3 linked regions of the Drosophila melanogaster genome follow. The protein of the gene in region 3 interacts with the protein of the main gene of each other region in a pairwise test. Each region holds a gene or a part of one and is shown on either strand. Other genes may lie near its edges.

Region 1 (4,534 bases), on a different chromosome or scaffold from region 3:
GGAGCAGCCTACCTTTACGGGAACCACAGTATTTCTGGCATTACTCATCTGAATAATGTCAATCTCTACAACGATCTTACCGTGAACGGGTCTGTAAATGGTGTCCCCTGGCAGGCGGACAAGCTCATTTTGATGGACAATGAGCAGGATATACCGGGCTCCCTGCTGGTGGCGAATAGTCTTCCCGAACAGAAGCGAGTTATGAGCAATAATGTGAAGAATCTCTGGGTGGATTTCGTCAACGATCTGCCCGTTAACGAGTTACTGGTCAGCAAGGCAGAAAACCGTCCCAATCTTCACGTGGAAAGCCAACTGATCTTCACCCAGCCCCTCACTGTGGGTCACTACGAAGCGGGCAACGGAAATGGGCTGCTGGATAAATATTACAAGAAAAAGCGGGGTGTCGAATCGAATGACATTCATGATTGGCAGCAGCTGCAGGAAAATGTGGCAGCTATTAAAAACAGATTGGCCAGTATGTTAAAAACACATTAATACAAATTCTCCTTTAGTCATGTGCATTAAATTCAACCAACAGAGCCGCCTAAAGTGCTGGAAGGCTTTGCTGTGCTGCAGAAATTACCTCATAAGGCCTCGCACATGAAGATCATCTCCGTGGACAACGAGGACGTACTGGCCATCTGGGAGCAGATGCCCAGCGAAGTAGGGACTACTTACACATGGCAACCGGATATACATCTTTTTGGGCGAAGTTCAAGTAAGTTATGTAGATTTATTTGCATATAAACGTATTTTAAAATCAAGTAGCATATTCAACCTTAAATAGGGACAAATTCGAAATCTCAAATATTAGAAATACATTTTAAATTTAGCTTTAAAATTCATGCGTAAATGCTATGAACACTCATACCAGAACTGTGAGTAAATACATTTTACAAGTGGGCGGCACAGAACGCAGACGTTTGAACACGGAAAAAATAATACGATAAATACGAGAAATGGTTCAGACAGGCCTACTACATAACTACCTTTTTAGTTTGTCTAATAAGTAAGCTGAGTAATCATTTAAATTGCGAGTATCAGTCGGTCTACTGCTCCAGTTCGTCGCTCTGCACATCGAGGATGGCGCGCAAGATGGACAGCTCCAGCTTGGCGGAGGCACGCGAAGAGAGTCTGTTCATCACATTGGCCACGTACAGCCCGAGAGACTCGTGTCGCGACGAGTTGCATAGATTCTTGAAAAAGGTTGGCGGCAGCGAGTTGTCAAAGTTGCCCAGGTTGATAATCTCGGGTGTATTGGAGGAGGCGGCGTTGATCTTCGGCCCGAAGATAATGTCATTCTTAAAGTCCAGCTCGTCGATGTGTGGCGAAAAGCCGTTTGTGGAAGCCACCGAGGTGGAAGCAATGGTGGCGGCTGTCGATGAGTTCGCTCCCCCACCACCACCGTTTATCTGTTGTGCCGATGGAATGGTGATGATGTTGATACCCGGCGGTGGTGTCTGGTTGTCCTCACGCTCCTTCTTAACCTGCATCAGCTGGGCAGTGGTTGTGTGCACCACATTGTTTCCCGCCGGCAGTTGATCTGGAACGCTGGTGTGCACTGAAGTTGCGGCTGCCGATGAAGCGGCTTGTTTCGGGCTCGTGGTCTTGGTCTGCTTTTTTTGCGCCGATGACGAGGTGTACTCCTCCGAAAGTTTGCGCTTCAAAGAATCTGGCAGCTGAATGGTGGTGCGCGAGGAGCTTGATCTTTGCCCACTGGCTGGCGCCTGTTGCCCAATAGCCGGTTTCGGTGCTGCTGCGGAGCTGGGCGTCTTCTTCACAGTAATTCCCTTCTTTTGCAGTACTGCTGCGGCGGCGGACAGCGAGCTACTTCGCGGTGTGTTGTTAGCCAGTGTGTTGAGCAGCTTTTTCTCCTCGATGGCTGGGCGAGGAGTGTCGACGTTGGGTTTGGCGTACGCCAACCGCTCGTCCTTTTCTGGCGAACCGGTGCTGTGTGACTTTGTGGGGCTTTCGCCGTCGGAGGACGCCGAGCCGGTAGAGTTGGTGTGCTGTCCGTACTGATGGGCGTCATCCTCGTCCTCAGGCTCCTGCACCTCCAGCATTTCGTACTCCTCCACCTCCTCCATGGGTACTTGATCACTGCAGAATAGCAGTAGAAATTTTGTTAGTGTTTCACGGTTAGAGGACTATTTACGCCACTTACTTCTCCTCCTTGATTGAGATTTTAGGCTCCTGATGGATCTGATGCATCAGACTGAAGAGCTTCCACGCCGAATTGCCCTTTAGCTTTTCCTGCTCGTACTTCTTTTGGAGCACTATGAAGATGGAGCGCGATTCGTGCACAGAGAGCTTGTTGAGACGCCCGATCCTGGCCCACGCCTCCTCCTGCTCCTGCTTGCTGGCGCCGCCATTGTTTGGATGCAGCACCTTTTCTTTGGCGATGTCCTGCAGAATCTTGTCCAGTTGGATTGCCATCTTAGTCAGCGACTTGCGGCCCGCTGGTTGCGCGTTCCTGATAATTTTGGAGGCTGTTTTGATAACACGCGACACACGAATTGGTATATGTAACTAGGATCCGCTTGTTTTTCTCTCCGCTTTCGCACCGTTCGCTTCTCTTTTCTTCTGTATTTGGCGTCGGTAAATTGGCGGAAAATGTGACCGTGCAACACGCAAATACTAGAAATGCCGCCTTTTGGTACAGTAACTTAGGGATGAGGGAGATTTTGGCAACATAGATGTTCACAGTTCACAGCTCTCGATGCAGTGAAAATTAAATTTTTATATATTATATTTATCACTATAAATATTAATACTTGCATTATTTTTACTTATATAACAATTATAATGTTTCTCCATAAGGAAAAGTTATTCATTTTGGTAGTCATAACTATCGAAGGAATGGTTTTTGTTTTGTCTTTTTCTATTCTATTCTCATACTTTATTTATTTATTTTATGTAAGGATCCTTACATATCGATAATTCTTAATACCGCTAATTTACGGTAAAACTACCCGTCTATCTTGCTGCCGATAGGGACAAACAAATAACGCAATTTATATTGCAGATGAGAACTCCACGAAATTTAAATTTTATTGAAATACGTTACAGTTTTCGCCACCTCACAACGCCACGATATTTACTTTGTCCTGACCACCTATGCATTTGACCGTTTCCAAGCGCGTAGGCCCATCCGCTCCGGCTGGACTGCTAACCATAAAGGGGAATTCGGCCAGGCCGTAGCAGGCAGCGCCATAATTACCCAGCCGATCTACGGCGATGAGAGCACCCATGAAATCCTTGTGGTGCTTGAGAATGCGGCGAAGGCCCTCTTGAGCTGCCTCAGCCGGAGGTTTTCCCGCCCGCATGGTCTCCACCGCTAGCAGGGAGGGCAGGAAGCGCATCATCACATCTCCATCTCCGGTTGCCACGGCTGCACCCACCTCGTTGTCTGCATAAGCGCCAGCACCCGGAATGGGGGAGTCGCCGACCCGTCCGGGAATCTTGTGCCGCGCCCCGTTGGTGGAGGTGCCGGCGTGGATGTTGCTTTCCACGTCGATGGCGATCATGCCGATGGTATCGTGGTTCTTGCGTCCGATCTCATACTCATTGCGGGCACGGTCCTCCTTCCAGCGGGTCAGCGGAGTCGGCCGCGGCTTATACGGGCCGCAAGAGACCTTGGGATCCGGGTGAACGTTCTTCCAGAAGTTTGGCTGGCAGTTCTCAGCCGTCCACTGTAACCACATGTCCTTCGACTCCGGCGTGACCAGCGACTCTGATTCGAATCCCATAGCATTGGCGAAAGCTGACGCCGCATCACCCACCAGCATGGTGTGCTGCGTGTGTTCCAGAACATGCCGGGCTACCTTAATGGCATCCTTAATGCGTCGCAGACCAGCCACTGCCCCCACATCCATGGTGGCCCCGTCCATGACCATGGCATCCAGTGTGGTTTCGCCCAACTCGTCCGGCGATCCGCCATAGCCCACCGTTCGGTCACACTGGAGTTTCTCACACTTCGAGCAGCCCTCCACTACCGCATTCCGCGTCTGCCGGAGTCCACCCTTGCTTTGCTTCAGGATTCGCCAGGCGAGCACATTGGCAGCCGTGAAGTTCCAAGTGTTAATGACCATGGGCAGCAGCTCACCCGTCGTCTTATTCGCCTTCACGGCAGTGGTGCCAGCTTTTCCACTGCAAAGGGGCGGATCTTAGCGAACAAAGAATACGCTGTATGCGCTGCTCACCTAAACGCCGAAGTCAGCGTTGGTTTGGGCGAAGTATTTACTGCCGCAAGGATGGAAAACGCCATGGTGGCCAAACAAAGGATCCAAAGACTTGCCCGCAAGTGCCTTCTCATGGTTAATCGTAATGGTCTCTACGAGAAGTCTTGGTGTATCACAATCTGTCCCTGTTCTGCCGGAAAATGGTCGAGTTCTGCTTTTAAATGCTAGCAGTCTAACCTCACTGTTTTGCTTTCTTATCTGTTGTTTTGATATACCCTCTAAAAGAGTCGTACACATTTTCAAATTGGTTTAAGCAATATTTTAAAACTTGAAAATGTTTCAACATAGATTAA
Region 2 (5,516 bases), on a different chromosome or scaffold from region 3:
GGGTAGGGAAAAGGTAATCTTGAATCACAAGCCGCACACTGATAGCGCCAGGACAGAGCGGCCGAGTTTTGAGGAAATCCGAGGAATCACACATAGGGACCCACAATGCACAATCCTTGGGCCGGACAGCTGTTCGCTCGGGGATTAGCACGGCTAGGCGAGCTCCTCTGCTCCCTCACCTTCTGCTTCTGCTTTCTCTCATTACTTTCGCCGGCGGGGCGCGCAAAATTATTAAAACCTGGCCCTGAATTATGGGCCATAATTTAGAATTTGTATTTGCTCAGAGCTTCCCTCTGGCTCCTTCGTCCTTCGTCCTTCTTCCTTCGATTTCCACTGCTTTCCCTTTTCTTCCGCTTTCCCACTCGATATGCCTGGCGGGCAATGGCAGGGGGTGGGGTTTGGTATTGGTGTGTCTGTGTGTGTTCACAGGACCCAGATCCTTTGATTGATTTGGGATCGCCGTGAAAAGCTGGCATCCATTGACAGGCAGGCACTTCAAGGACCAGAGGCTCTCGGATCGGCTTATTTGCCCAGGATCATGCGAAATGCCATGGAAAAGGATCTGCAGATCAATAGGTGATGCGAAACACAGGGAATAATTGGATCTGGCTAGGGAAGACTATATGGCGTATTGTTTAGACTGATTCTATTGTCAGTGCCTTGAATTTGGTATTTCGCAGCCTTAAATATTAAACATATTCGATTAATTCATAAATGATCAAAGTCGAAAGCATCAAGGATAAGTAATTTTGCATAAGGAAACTGCTTTTAAAGTTCTCATTAAAATATAGTATATATTTTCAGACTTACCGAATCCGCAGGATATAATTCTAAAAGTCACTCCTGACATCTTGCCAAACACTTCCCAAAATCAAATCTCAATCAATTTCGGAACATGTATATCAATCGCACAAATGATGATGGCCCAATGGAAGGTCCCTTGTGGGCCATTAATATTATATATGCCGATCGTTAGCCGGAGCATTTGTCAAGCATTATACGATGGAAATCCAAACTTGACAAATGCCAAGTGAAATGCCATGTGAGATGAATTGGAATGCAAAGCATTCGATTTCAATATCAACCCGATCGCTCCCGCTCCGGGGGGTGGGACGAGTTCAAATTGCCGGGCTAGTGGTGGTGCTACACTAGGTTTTCAAGTTCAGTCCAAGGGAATGTCCTTTCCGAGTCCCGAAATTCCTCAGCAGTCAACAGGGGAGAGAAATCGGGAGAGCGAACGAACGGCAATCTCACCTTCAATATTGAAAGGTGCTGTTGAAAAGGTGGTGGTTCCATTAGTACACTGTCAAAAAAGACTGTAGTTCAATACTTTTAAATGAACTAAAAATATGTAATAATCAACTATGATATATATTTAGGATATATTTCATTTGTATACAAAATTCCTAAATGTTATCTTTATGTGTGCATAAAACAAATTCGTAAATAGTTATCAAAATCTGTTTCAAATAGTTGGGTATCTTCTCATTCAAAAATCTGTAATACATTTAAAATATTTTGTATAGCTGGTCCCAAAGTACAACATATTTGTTTTCAGTGTGCCTCGTGAGACCGGGTTTCAAGCTCTGCGAGGTGAGCACGCAACGTTTGCGTGCGAGGGTAGAATTAGTCACTTTTCGTCTGTTGCAGCGACAGGACGTGTATTTCTCTGCGATCGCGAGCAGGAAATAAATTTCAAAATTTACAATTTTGATTTCCCAACACCCGTCTCGTTACGCCTATTTTCATTTTTTTTTTAAACGTGCAAAGAAAAAATACCACAAAATTTTATATTATTTTTCATTGTGAAACGAAGCAATTTCTGAACTTTGGATACCCCAAAAAAAAAAAAACGAAGAACGCGAAAAATTCCAAAAAAATATATACAAATAAAAAGGTAAAGATAAGTGAAGTGCATGAAATGGAAAACGAAAAGCCAGTGTGCATATTTTCGGGCTAAATGTGCATTAAAAATGCATTAAAGCAGAAGTGTCTGGGGCAGCGGGGTTTAATTAAAAACACCCCATTAAAATCGCCTAAAAACGTATAAATTGTGCGCGTGCGATTTTGGGTTATGTTTTGCTGGGTTTTAGCTCCTGCGTTTTGGTTTTGAGCTTGGGCAATGGGATATGGGCAATGGGCTATGGGTTAATGGGTTTTCGAACTCGGGCCACTTGGCCCAAGTGCTCGAGTGCTCTTCAGACCAAAACGAGAGCGGCGGCTGCAAAATGCGCAAAAATGCTAGCACGCACGTACATATCCCGGAATCGAGTAGATGAGCGAAATCGCTCACTCCTGCGGATCCCCCCTTATCGCCATCACTCCTCGAGTGGCCGGAGATCGACACCACTGGAGGATGGGGCAGAGGAATGGGAGTAGGACGAGGCAACAGAGTGTGCCGGCAGCACCACCATTTTGCCCAAGTTCACACGGCAAAAAATATATATGTTCTCCCAGCCACACTTTTTTTATCACTTGAATCTTCAGTCTCAAAATCATGCAGCTCAACAAATTTACTATTCAAAATGAATAATAATTATATTAGTAACTTTCTTGGCGAACTTAGTTCCCAAAATTTCTATTGATTTGCAAATTTAATGAAATGGTATATTGGACCGCTAATTTCTAATTTGACTATCAAGGGCTTTGCTTAAATATTTTATTTTTATAGTAAAGAATGTTGTAAACATTTTTCATTTCTATTGAAATTTGAATAGCTTATTGCTTTTATAATTTAATCGGGTACTAAATCTGGAACCAATTTTAATATCTTCTTTATTGTAACAAAGCCATTTAGATGCCAAATAATTCCCCAGATTCTGAAATTATTTGAACAATAGTTCAATCAGTTAAAAAATAATATAAATAAAATGTATAGATATTCCGATTTTTGCGCATAAATCCCCAAATTCCTGCCTGATTTTGGGTGATAATTTCTCCCTGTGCCGGCACACCACCCGAGCACACGATACGCGAGGCAGAACCTTGGGCTAAATCGCAGCTGGAGGGCAGTGCGTTGGTATGGCGAACAGGAGCGAACCGGAGGCCCAGAAAATCGCGAAGCTTTAGCGCGCTTTTCCTTTGTTCCCGGGCTCTTTGTGCCGGCTCAATTGTTCGCAAGGATATGCGGAACCAGAAACTCCTTGCGGAAATCGGGAAGCTGGCGTTCAGCTGTGCGAATCCTTGGCGAAATCCCAAGCAGGCCCCTGTGCAAACTCGTTTCGCTACAAGTTAGTCGGGTTTTTGCTCTGTTTTTGCTTTTTTTTTTTGCAATTCCATTCTGCTTGAGAAGCTTTGCAAATAGACAATCGCTAACTAGCCCTATCCTTTTTGCCACTTTTCCAGATATCTTGGCACCGCAGGAGCGACAGACAGCAGCTGCCAGGATGCTCAAGTGGGCTGTCAACCAGCCGCGAAACTCGTATCTGGCCAAGGAGCTGGCCATGGGATCGCAAACAGGATCGGAATCGGGATCGGGATCAGGATCTCTCGAGCAGAAGGCCGAAGTGGTGGGCTCCAGCTACAGCGAGTTCCACGCCCTGCGTGGCAAACTCAAGAGGAAGTCGATCGGAGTGGCGCCAGGCAAGGAGAACCAGCTGACCTCCACGCCGCTGCCGGCCAGCTCCTTGAGCCTCCATGCTCGCACACCACTGCTCAAGGACCTCAGCAACATCCTGGCCACGCCGCCATCGGGAGGAGCAAGTGGCGCTAGTGGGGCAACTGGAGGAGCAGCTGCTGTTCCCCTGAAGTTCGCCTGCACACTGCCCACCTTCGAGGCGGAGTACTCGCCCAATGCCGCCATCATTCCTGGCTCCCTGATCGCCCTGCGCGGCATGGGCATCCCGGACAGCTACTTCGAGAAGCCGCGCTACCTGGAGCAGAAGCCACTACCACATCCGCATCCCCATCCGCATCCAGCTCCTCCGATCGGCGAACAGAATACGCTCAGTTCCAGCCAGATGGGCGATGTGACCCTGGAGCGTATGATCGATGCCATCCTCGAGAGCAACCGCAAGGTGCTGCCCAACGCCAGACAGCAACAGCACCAGCATCAGCACCGCCAGCCCAGGCAGCATCTCCGCCAGCGGCACAGGCTCAGGCAGCAGGTGCTCCGGAGCAGCCACGGACACGGGCACGGGCACGGCTCCACCCAGACGCCATCGCCCACCTACCGCCCCGCCTTCGATCCGGCCAGCGATCTGTGCGAGTACTGGAAGTCGCCCTCGCGGAGGGATTCCCTGCCAGCGGAGGGCTTCGAGGAGCGGGAGGTGCGCTCCCCCGTGCCCACCGAATCCGAATCGCAGGATGCCAAGCGGCATTCCCTGCAGCTGCGCAGGCAGCGGGTGGTGCGGCGCAAGCGAAAGATCACCACCAAGATCTCCTCCAGCGTCAGGCAGTCGGCGCAGAAGCTGCTCGCAGCGGCCAGGTCCGGATCTGCAGTGCCCAGCCAGCGGTTCGCCCAGAAGAGGCGCCACATTAGCCCGGACAGTGGGCACAACTCGACCAGCGATTTTGAGGAGGAGCTGGTGGCCATGGGATCATGCGGCGGGCGGGTGGAGGCGGTTACCAAGCGGCGGCTGAGCTTCTCCTACGCCGAGGATCTGTTCGTGGAGAAGTGACCCAATGCGGGTCATGTCCATATGTTGATTTTTGACTTCTGTTTGGTTATAACCTAAACCTTTTTTTTTTTTTTGAGTGGCTAAAAGCGCAGCATTGCCTTGGAATACGAATGTTGAAACAGATCCTATAATTACCTAAGAATCCTTTTTTTTTCTGACAAATAAAAAACCGATTTGAAAAACTAGTTGAATTGCGAATTTATTATTCCTAATATCCTAAAAAAGGAAAGTTCGATTTGTTACCATTAAATATGAACATTTAATTCTTAAAAGGATGTAAAGATCATTTTGCCGCGTAAACGCAATTGGGTCCTTGTTAGCGTTAGATAAGTACAACCATTAATTAGAGATAAACTGTCTTCTACGTGGGGATTACTTGGCAATATTTCAGAGGCAATATTCTAGAGTTGAAGTTAAACTGGATTCTCACGTTCCGCCCATGAATTCATCACCGTCGACCTTTCATTTCCAACCGGCGAGCTGGCAGGATATGCTGGATAATATGCACTGAGCTAGAGGGTGCGGGAGTAACAGTTGTGGTAGTAAAAATGTTGCGGCATATCCTGCGAGTCCTTTACACGGCACTTATCACGCACCTGTGCACCACCAAATGGCGAACCACCAACAACTACAAACGACAAACGACAGGCTACAAAACGGTGGGCATTTGCATAAATTTGCATAGAATCGACCAAATTGTACGGTCAACGGCTTGTATCGAGGGTTTTGAGCCAGGATTCGAGGTCCTTGTTAACTGTACTCCAGATCTACAAACGGCGAATCACCGATCCATAACTACACGGAGAAAAAAGAACTTACAAATTTGGTGTATCTTGCGTACTTAATCATAAGGATTACCCATCAAAGATTTTAAACATTTAAAACTTTTAATTTCGT
Region 3 (5,611 bases):
ATGCTGAATTTTTAATCTATTTTTATAATTTGTTTTGCCACACACACACACGATTCGCCGAATTCGACGCACTGCATCCGATGGGAACAAGATCGTACGTGGACATGGTTGTTGATGTGACGTCGTCGCTCCACTGATTAAGCTTACCCTCTGGATCACTGCAATAACCACGAACGCTGCGATTCATCTTGATTGAGTTGTGCGTGGTGCGCGTTCTGTGCCAGTAGTAGACTACTACTCACTACTCACTCGTCGGTTGTTTAATCATTATATCTAATCTGGAACTTTTTTGGGGTCGCTGTCCACCGCTGCTCGAGTGGGCGTGGCTGCGGTAGATAGCTCTTAATCTTCCGGCTATCCGCTTACGGCCCAAATGCGATTTAAATGTACAAGACAAAAAAAAAAACATGTATTGACTGCATGACTTTTTATCGCGGATTTACGGACAAAAGGCGCCAGCGCATCGAAGGGATAACATTTTAAATTCGATTGCCTGCATCGGTGTATATCCCAATAGCATTCCAAATAATATACAAAAAAAAATGCCAAGGCCCAAAAATAGGCTCCAATTTTCGCAATGCTCAAATGCAGCTTAAATACACATGAAATTTAATTAATCATTCAAACAATTCATTATTTATTGACAACTTTGAATATAAACATGCGATTCGGGAATGAGGACACTGGTGTGAAGGGAATGAGTTGTTGTTGTTGTTGTTGTTGTTGTAATGCTTGCGCGAAGGTGGAGGATTAAAAGCGTTTCCTGTATACATAAATAAATACTAAACAGCCTAAAATATATCCGAAATGAGCTCGAAACGTATCCAATAAAAAGCCTAGTACACGCAAACATAAGGTGCCCCCTGTACAGACGGATTCTGGAAATACTATGATCCACGGATCCCAGCCAGCGCAGCTGCCCGAGCGGTTGCATCGTGAACGAGGAACACTGCCAGAAAGATCCATGCTGCAATCTGTGAAGTCTAGTCTAACGCGAGGAATACGGGTATGTTAAATGGGGATTCATGCGAGTGGATTTTGCCAACCCGATTCAATTATGACTTTAAGCTAATGCATTCGCCTGTGTTTCCATGCATACCTCCAAAGTGTTTGGGAATGTTTGTAAGATGTGATGATGAGTATGCGTATGTTTGACAATGGCATAGTGTGTGAGCGCGGTCGAAGGTGTAGTTGTTTGTAAGGCGTGTGAGCGGAGTTTGGAATGTGTGGGGTGGGCGATTAGAACGTGTAGCCACCTTCGGGAGCCTTGGGCTGGGTGGCATTGAACTCGAGGGCTCCGTTGACCTCCTGAGGTGCGAGCTCTTGCTCGGCCTCGTCGTCGCCGTTGCTGAAGTATGTGTCAATGATGGCGTAGGCCTTCTTGTAGACCTCCTCGTTCTCGTGCTGCTGCAGAGTTTCCAGCTTGTCTAGACCGCCCATCTCCTCGACCATCAAGCATAGGTTCTCGGTGCCACCAAGTTTCTCCGCCAGGGCAAACAGATTGGATAGGCCCGTCTGCACCACCTTGATGGTACGCGGATCCTTTGTGTCCAGCAAATCGATAAAAGGCTTCAATATTTTGTACTTCTCAATTAGATCGACGATCTGTTCGGGAGTGCCAGATGTCGTGGTGTTTGTCACCGCCCAGGCAGCCTCTTTTTGAGCCTTGAAATCACCCTTCTCCAGCACGGTGCGCAGCTGCTGGAAGATGCCGGCCTGAATCACAGCCTGGATCTGCTTCTGGTTACCTGCTGTGATGTTGCTGACCGTCCAGGCAGCCTCCTTCACAATGTTGCTTTTGTTGTGCTGTAGAAGGAGTCCCAGCCTTGGTAAACCTCCAGATGCAATTACAACGTCAGTCTAATAAAAAAAAAAAAAAAAAACAGGTCGGTCAGGCATGTTATAACAATAAGGATTAAAATCATTTGTTTTCCTACCTGTTGATCTGTGCCAGTCACAATGTTGCCAACGCTGCGCAGGGCGGGCACAATAATGCTCGGCTCGTCCATTTGCAGCAGTTTGACCAGGCGCGGCACTGCGTCCGAGTCGACCACAGCCTGGATCTTGGTGTTATCGTCGTCCGTGACGTAGGACAAAGCCCAGCAGGCGTCGGCCAGCACTTGGATGTCCTGACTAAGCAGAAGCTGCGACAGGACGGGCAACAGCCGCTTCACCTGATCGAATGGCGGCGATGGATTCTTGTTCCGGCACAGGTTGGACATCAGCCAGACGATGTTGCGCAGAAAAGAGAGCGGTGTCTCATTGTTGATCAGTGGCAAGATTCCGTCAATTACGTTGTGGTGGATGACAATGTCGCGGGCGGCGGCTCCGTCGCCGGCAATGTTGCCCAGAGCCCAGACTGCCTGCTCGGCCAGGTTCATGGACTTGGACTGGAGCAGAGCCACGAAATGCGGCACAGCATTGTGTTCGATAACGCAGCGCGTTTGGTCGGATGTGCCAGAGGCGATGTTGGTAAGCGCCCAAGCGGCCTCGAACTGCAGCATTGAGCTGTAGCGGCGAATCAGGGGATATTCAATAATGCTCTCATCAACATTCTAAAGCCACTACTCACTTGTTGGTATTCTGCAGGAAGCGTATGCAAATGGGCACAATACCATGGCCGATCATCAGGTCGATGGGTGGATTGCGCTCCCGACTGAGCATCTTGCGGGCAGACTGCATGCCCAGAAACTGGCGCTCCTGATCCTCGCTGTTCATGGCCGCCACTATCTCGTCCACGGACAGCTGCACCGGCGACTGGCCATTGAGCTCTTTGAGCGGCGACGTTAGATCCTCGTCGTTGATGTTGCGCCGCTTGAACATCTGGTCCTCCTTTTTGGACTTGCGCAGCTCGATGGTCACCTCATGGCGGCGCATGCGTGAGTCCTAGGGCAAAAAGTGAGGTTAGTTCCGAACGCAGTTCTGCGGAGGATCTTGTGTACATTACCTGCGTGTTAATGCTGTTGGCCTTGTAGGAGCCCTGTCGTGAGTTAGAATCCGCCTTACTCATTTTTTTTTTTTTTTTGAGTTTTGTGTTTTTTCTTTAAAAGTTTAGATGTTTGCTGCTGCGATGAAATGTGTGAAACTGAAAAGGAAAATGTGAGTCAATGTCAGGAAGAAGCAGAATCAAGGGCTGCTTGGGTTCTTTTTTTTTATCTCTGTCTTTTATATTCCTTTCGGCGTGCAACAGGGGCGTAACCATGAGTTCAAAAAAGGGGTTTTCTTTGTGGCCAGCAACTCGATATGTTATTCCTATGTGTTAGCCAACATAAGCCAACTAATTTACAAGATTATTTTTAACGGGGCACCCAATCGCTCAAGCCCCCGCGAGTTAAGAACTACGCCTTTGGTTGGCAACAGCTGCAGCAGCCGCCATTTGCCGATTCGCGGAAAGAGGGGAACGAGAAGAGGAGATCACGAAGAGGCGGTCAAATTGATGAACGCTAGTAAAAAGCAGTGGGAAAAACCGCGAAAAGGAAGAAAAGAGTACACACGCACTTACCTTTGTACCTTTGCCCTTTTGAATGCGTGTGCTGGCTTTTTCGAATGGAAATTCACTTTACTGAATTTTTACACAATTTTTATCGTTCCCTAACGAAACGCGAGCACGAGAATTTGTCGAGCGTGTTAGCACGCTGAATGTGTCGGTGAAACTGTAGACAAACGTAGACAGTACTCTCGTAATCGATGCGAAATTGGAGTCAATGCCTGCTTGGCGCCGCCAGAATTTACCGTTTGATTTGAAAAGCAAGCCTTAGTGGCGAACGAAACGCAGATGGCTATCGATCTTTGTCAGTTATCGAAATTTGATGCCAGTGTGAACGTAGGTGCCTAATATCGCATGTTATCTTGCTGTTAACTTCGGACAACGGCGCGTAGAGAAAAATAATGTACATTTTTTATATCCACATAATTATTACTAAATTTTTAAGTAACTTATTATTTTTTTAGTATATATAAATTTCTGGTGTAACTTGTTAACGATCGCTTGCCAAGTGGTGAAGCAGCTTTTGGATTTCAATATGTTGTTGTGGAACGTGGAACGTGTGCGCATGCAAGCCAAATTCAGCCAACAGCTGAATAGAAGTCGGCTGAATCTGCACACCACGCGGGCTCATTTAAATGTTTATGACAAATGTTTATGTTTTACTTTCTCGTCTTTACTTTTGTAAGGAAAACCTTCATCTTAAAATAATATAATATTAATAATGTTTAATATTAAGGCTATACGTTTAAAAGCTTCAATTACAATTTCCATAAATATTTATGTTCAATCTTTGTTGTTAATTTATTCAACGAATATGTGTTAAAATGTAAAGCTCTATCCATATTTAATAAGACAAAAAATAGCCACCTAAATCAATATTTAATTGGATAATAAAAGGTACTGATTTTATCTGTCTACCTTTAAATATAAAATTTGATTGTCTCTTTTTTTTTGCTTGCAAATATGTTATCATTGCACTAATACCATTTAATCTCTCGATTATCAGTAATAATGCAATAAATGCGCAGATATTTCCGGTTAATGCTCTTTTCATTTTGTTTATATGCGGTTGTCAGAAATAAACAAAATTTTTTTTAGAGATGATTGCTGCCAATCGATTTAGTCCCTTTTTCAATTGTTTGTTTTTCGATTCTTTGAGAAGTAATCCGCTAAATTAATGTGGTAAATTAATTATTAAAATCGCCGCATTTAAGCTTTTGAATTATCAGCTTATAAATGTAACTAAACTACATTTAATTTGAATTAGTAGACAATTTTTTATGTATTCTCGAAGTATTTTATTCATTTCCTTATTAATTTCAACAATATTTCCGTTCATAATCCAATCTAGGCCGTCTTCTTGTTCTCCTCCGTAACTGGAGCAGCGGTGGTGGTGGTGCTGCTGGCCTCCGGGGCAGATCGTGCCTCCACCACGTCGGAATCATCGCTGTCAGGAGCTGGGGAGGATTGACCAGCTGGCGAGTAGGGTGGGAACTGCTGATCCTGGGGATAGGTTTGCTGCTGCTGCTCCTGCTGCTGCTGCTGACCCTCGTTGTAGTCAATGGGAGTGGGTTCCAGCTCGGGCTGTTGGGCCACAGGAGACTCCACCACCTCACCCTGCTGCTCGGCAACCTGTTGAATCTGCTGTGGGGCGAACACCTGCTGGTGTGGATAGTAGATGGGAGCGGGCAGCGAGGCAACGGGAGCGGAGGAAATATGGACGGGAACTGGAGCTGGAGCGGAGACGGAAACCACTGGAGCAGCAACTGCGCGGGCAGCGACAACCGGTTCCCGCTGGACCACCGCATTGAATCCGTTGATGTCGTCGGCGGTGTAGGTCACTGTGCGCTTGAAACCATCGGCATCCAGGACGGAATAGGATCCCACAACATTGCCACCGTCACGGGTCTCCACCTGGCTTTTGATATCGCCGGTGATGCTGTCGTGAACGCCGTAGGAGAAGTCGTAGCGCGGCGAAGATTCCAACTCTACCTGTTTCAGTACAGCGGGAGCAGCAGCCACAGTCTTGACCACTGGAGCAGCGACCACGGGAGCAGCAGCCAGGGTCTTCACCACCGGCGCAGCAACGGGCAGAGCGAGAGGAGCAGGAGCCACCGCCTTGAC

The links. The genes of interacting proteins can lie anywhere in the genome.
Region 1: the proteins of Pen (region 3) and Map60 interact in a two-hybrid assay, tested with the Drosophila melanogaster proteins (one large-scale study listed by BioGRID).
Region 2: the proteins of Pen (region 3) and CG15646 interact in a two-hybrid assay, tested with the Drosophila melanogaster proteins (one large-scale study listed by BioGRID).

Annotation. Positions count from the first base shown.
Region 1 is NT_033778.4:9,588,931-9,593,464, reverse strand, and holds Map60 (Microtubule-associated protein 60), read right to left. Parts: upstream 2,599-4,534; 5' UTR 2,437-2,598; coding exon 2,165-2,436; intron 2,101-2,164; coding exon 1,050-2,100; 3' UTR 721-1,049; downstream 1-720. Other genes in the region: CG1827 (uncharacterized protein), read right to left, coding at 3,081-4,149, 4,203-4,315; clos (closca), read left to right, coding at 1-475, 539-718.
Region 2 is NC_004354.4:15,667,165-15,672,680, reverse strand, and holds CG15646 (uncharacterized protein), read left to right. Parts: upstream 1-1,651; 5' UTR 1,652-1,897; intron 1,898-2,883; exon of another isoform or gene 2,884-3,230; intron 3,231-3,345; 5' UTR 3,346-3,386; coding exon 3,387-4,619; 3' UTR 4,620-4,796; downstream 4,797-5,516.
Region 3 is NT_033779.5:10,055,096-10,060,706, reverse strand, and holds Pen (pendulin), read right to left. Parts: upstream 3,808-5,611; 5' UTR 3,503-3,807; intron 3,086-3,502; 5' UTR 3,011-3,085; coding exon 2,948-3,010; intron 2,887-2,947; coding exon 2,573-2,886; intron 2,509-2,572; coding exon 1,938-2,508; intron 1,861-1,937; coding exon 1,240-1,860; 3' UTR 612-1,239; downstream 1-611. Other genes in the region: Cpr31A (cuticular protein 31A), read right to left, coding at 4,835-5,611. UniProt on the Drosophila melanogaster protein: Binds specifically and directly to substrates containing either a simple or bipartite NLS motif. Promotes docking of import substrates to the nuclear envelope. Seems to act as a cytosolic receptor for both simple and bipartite NLS motifs.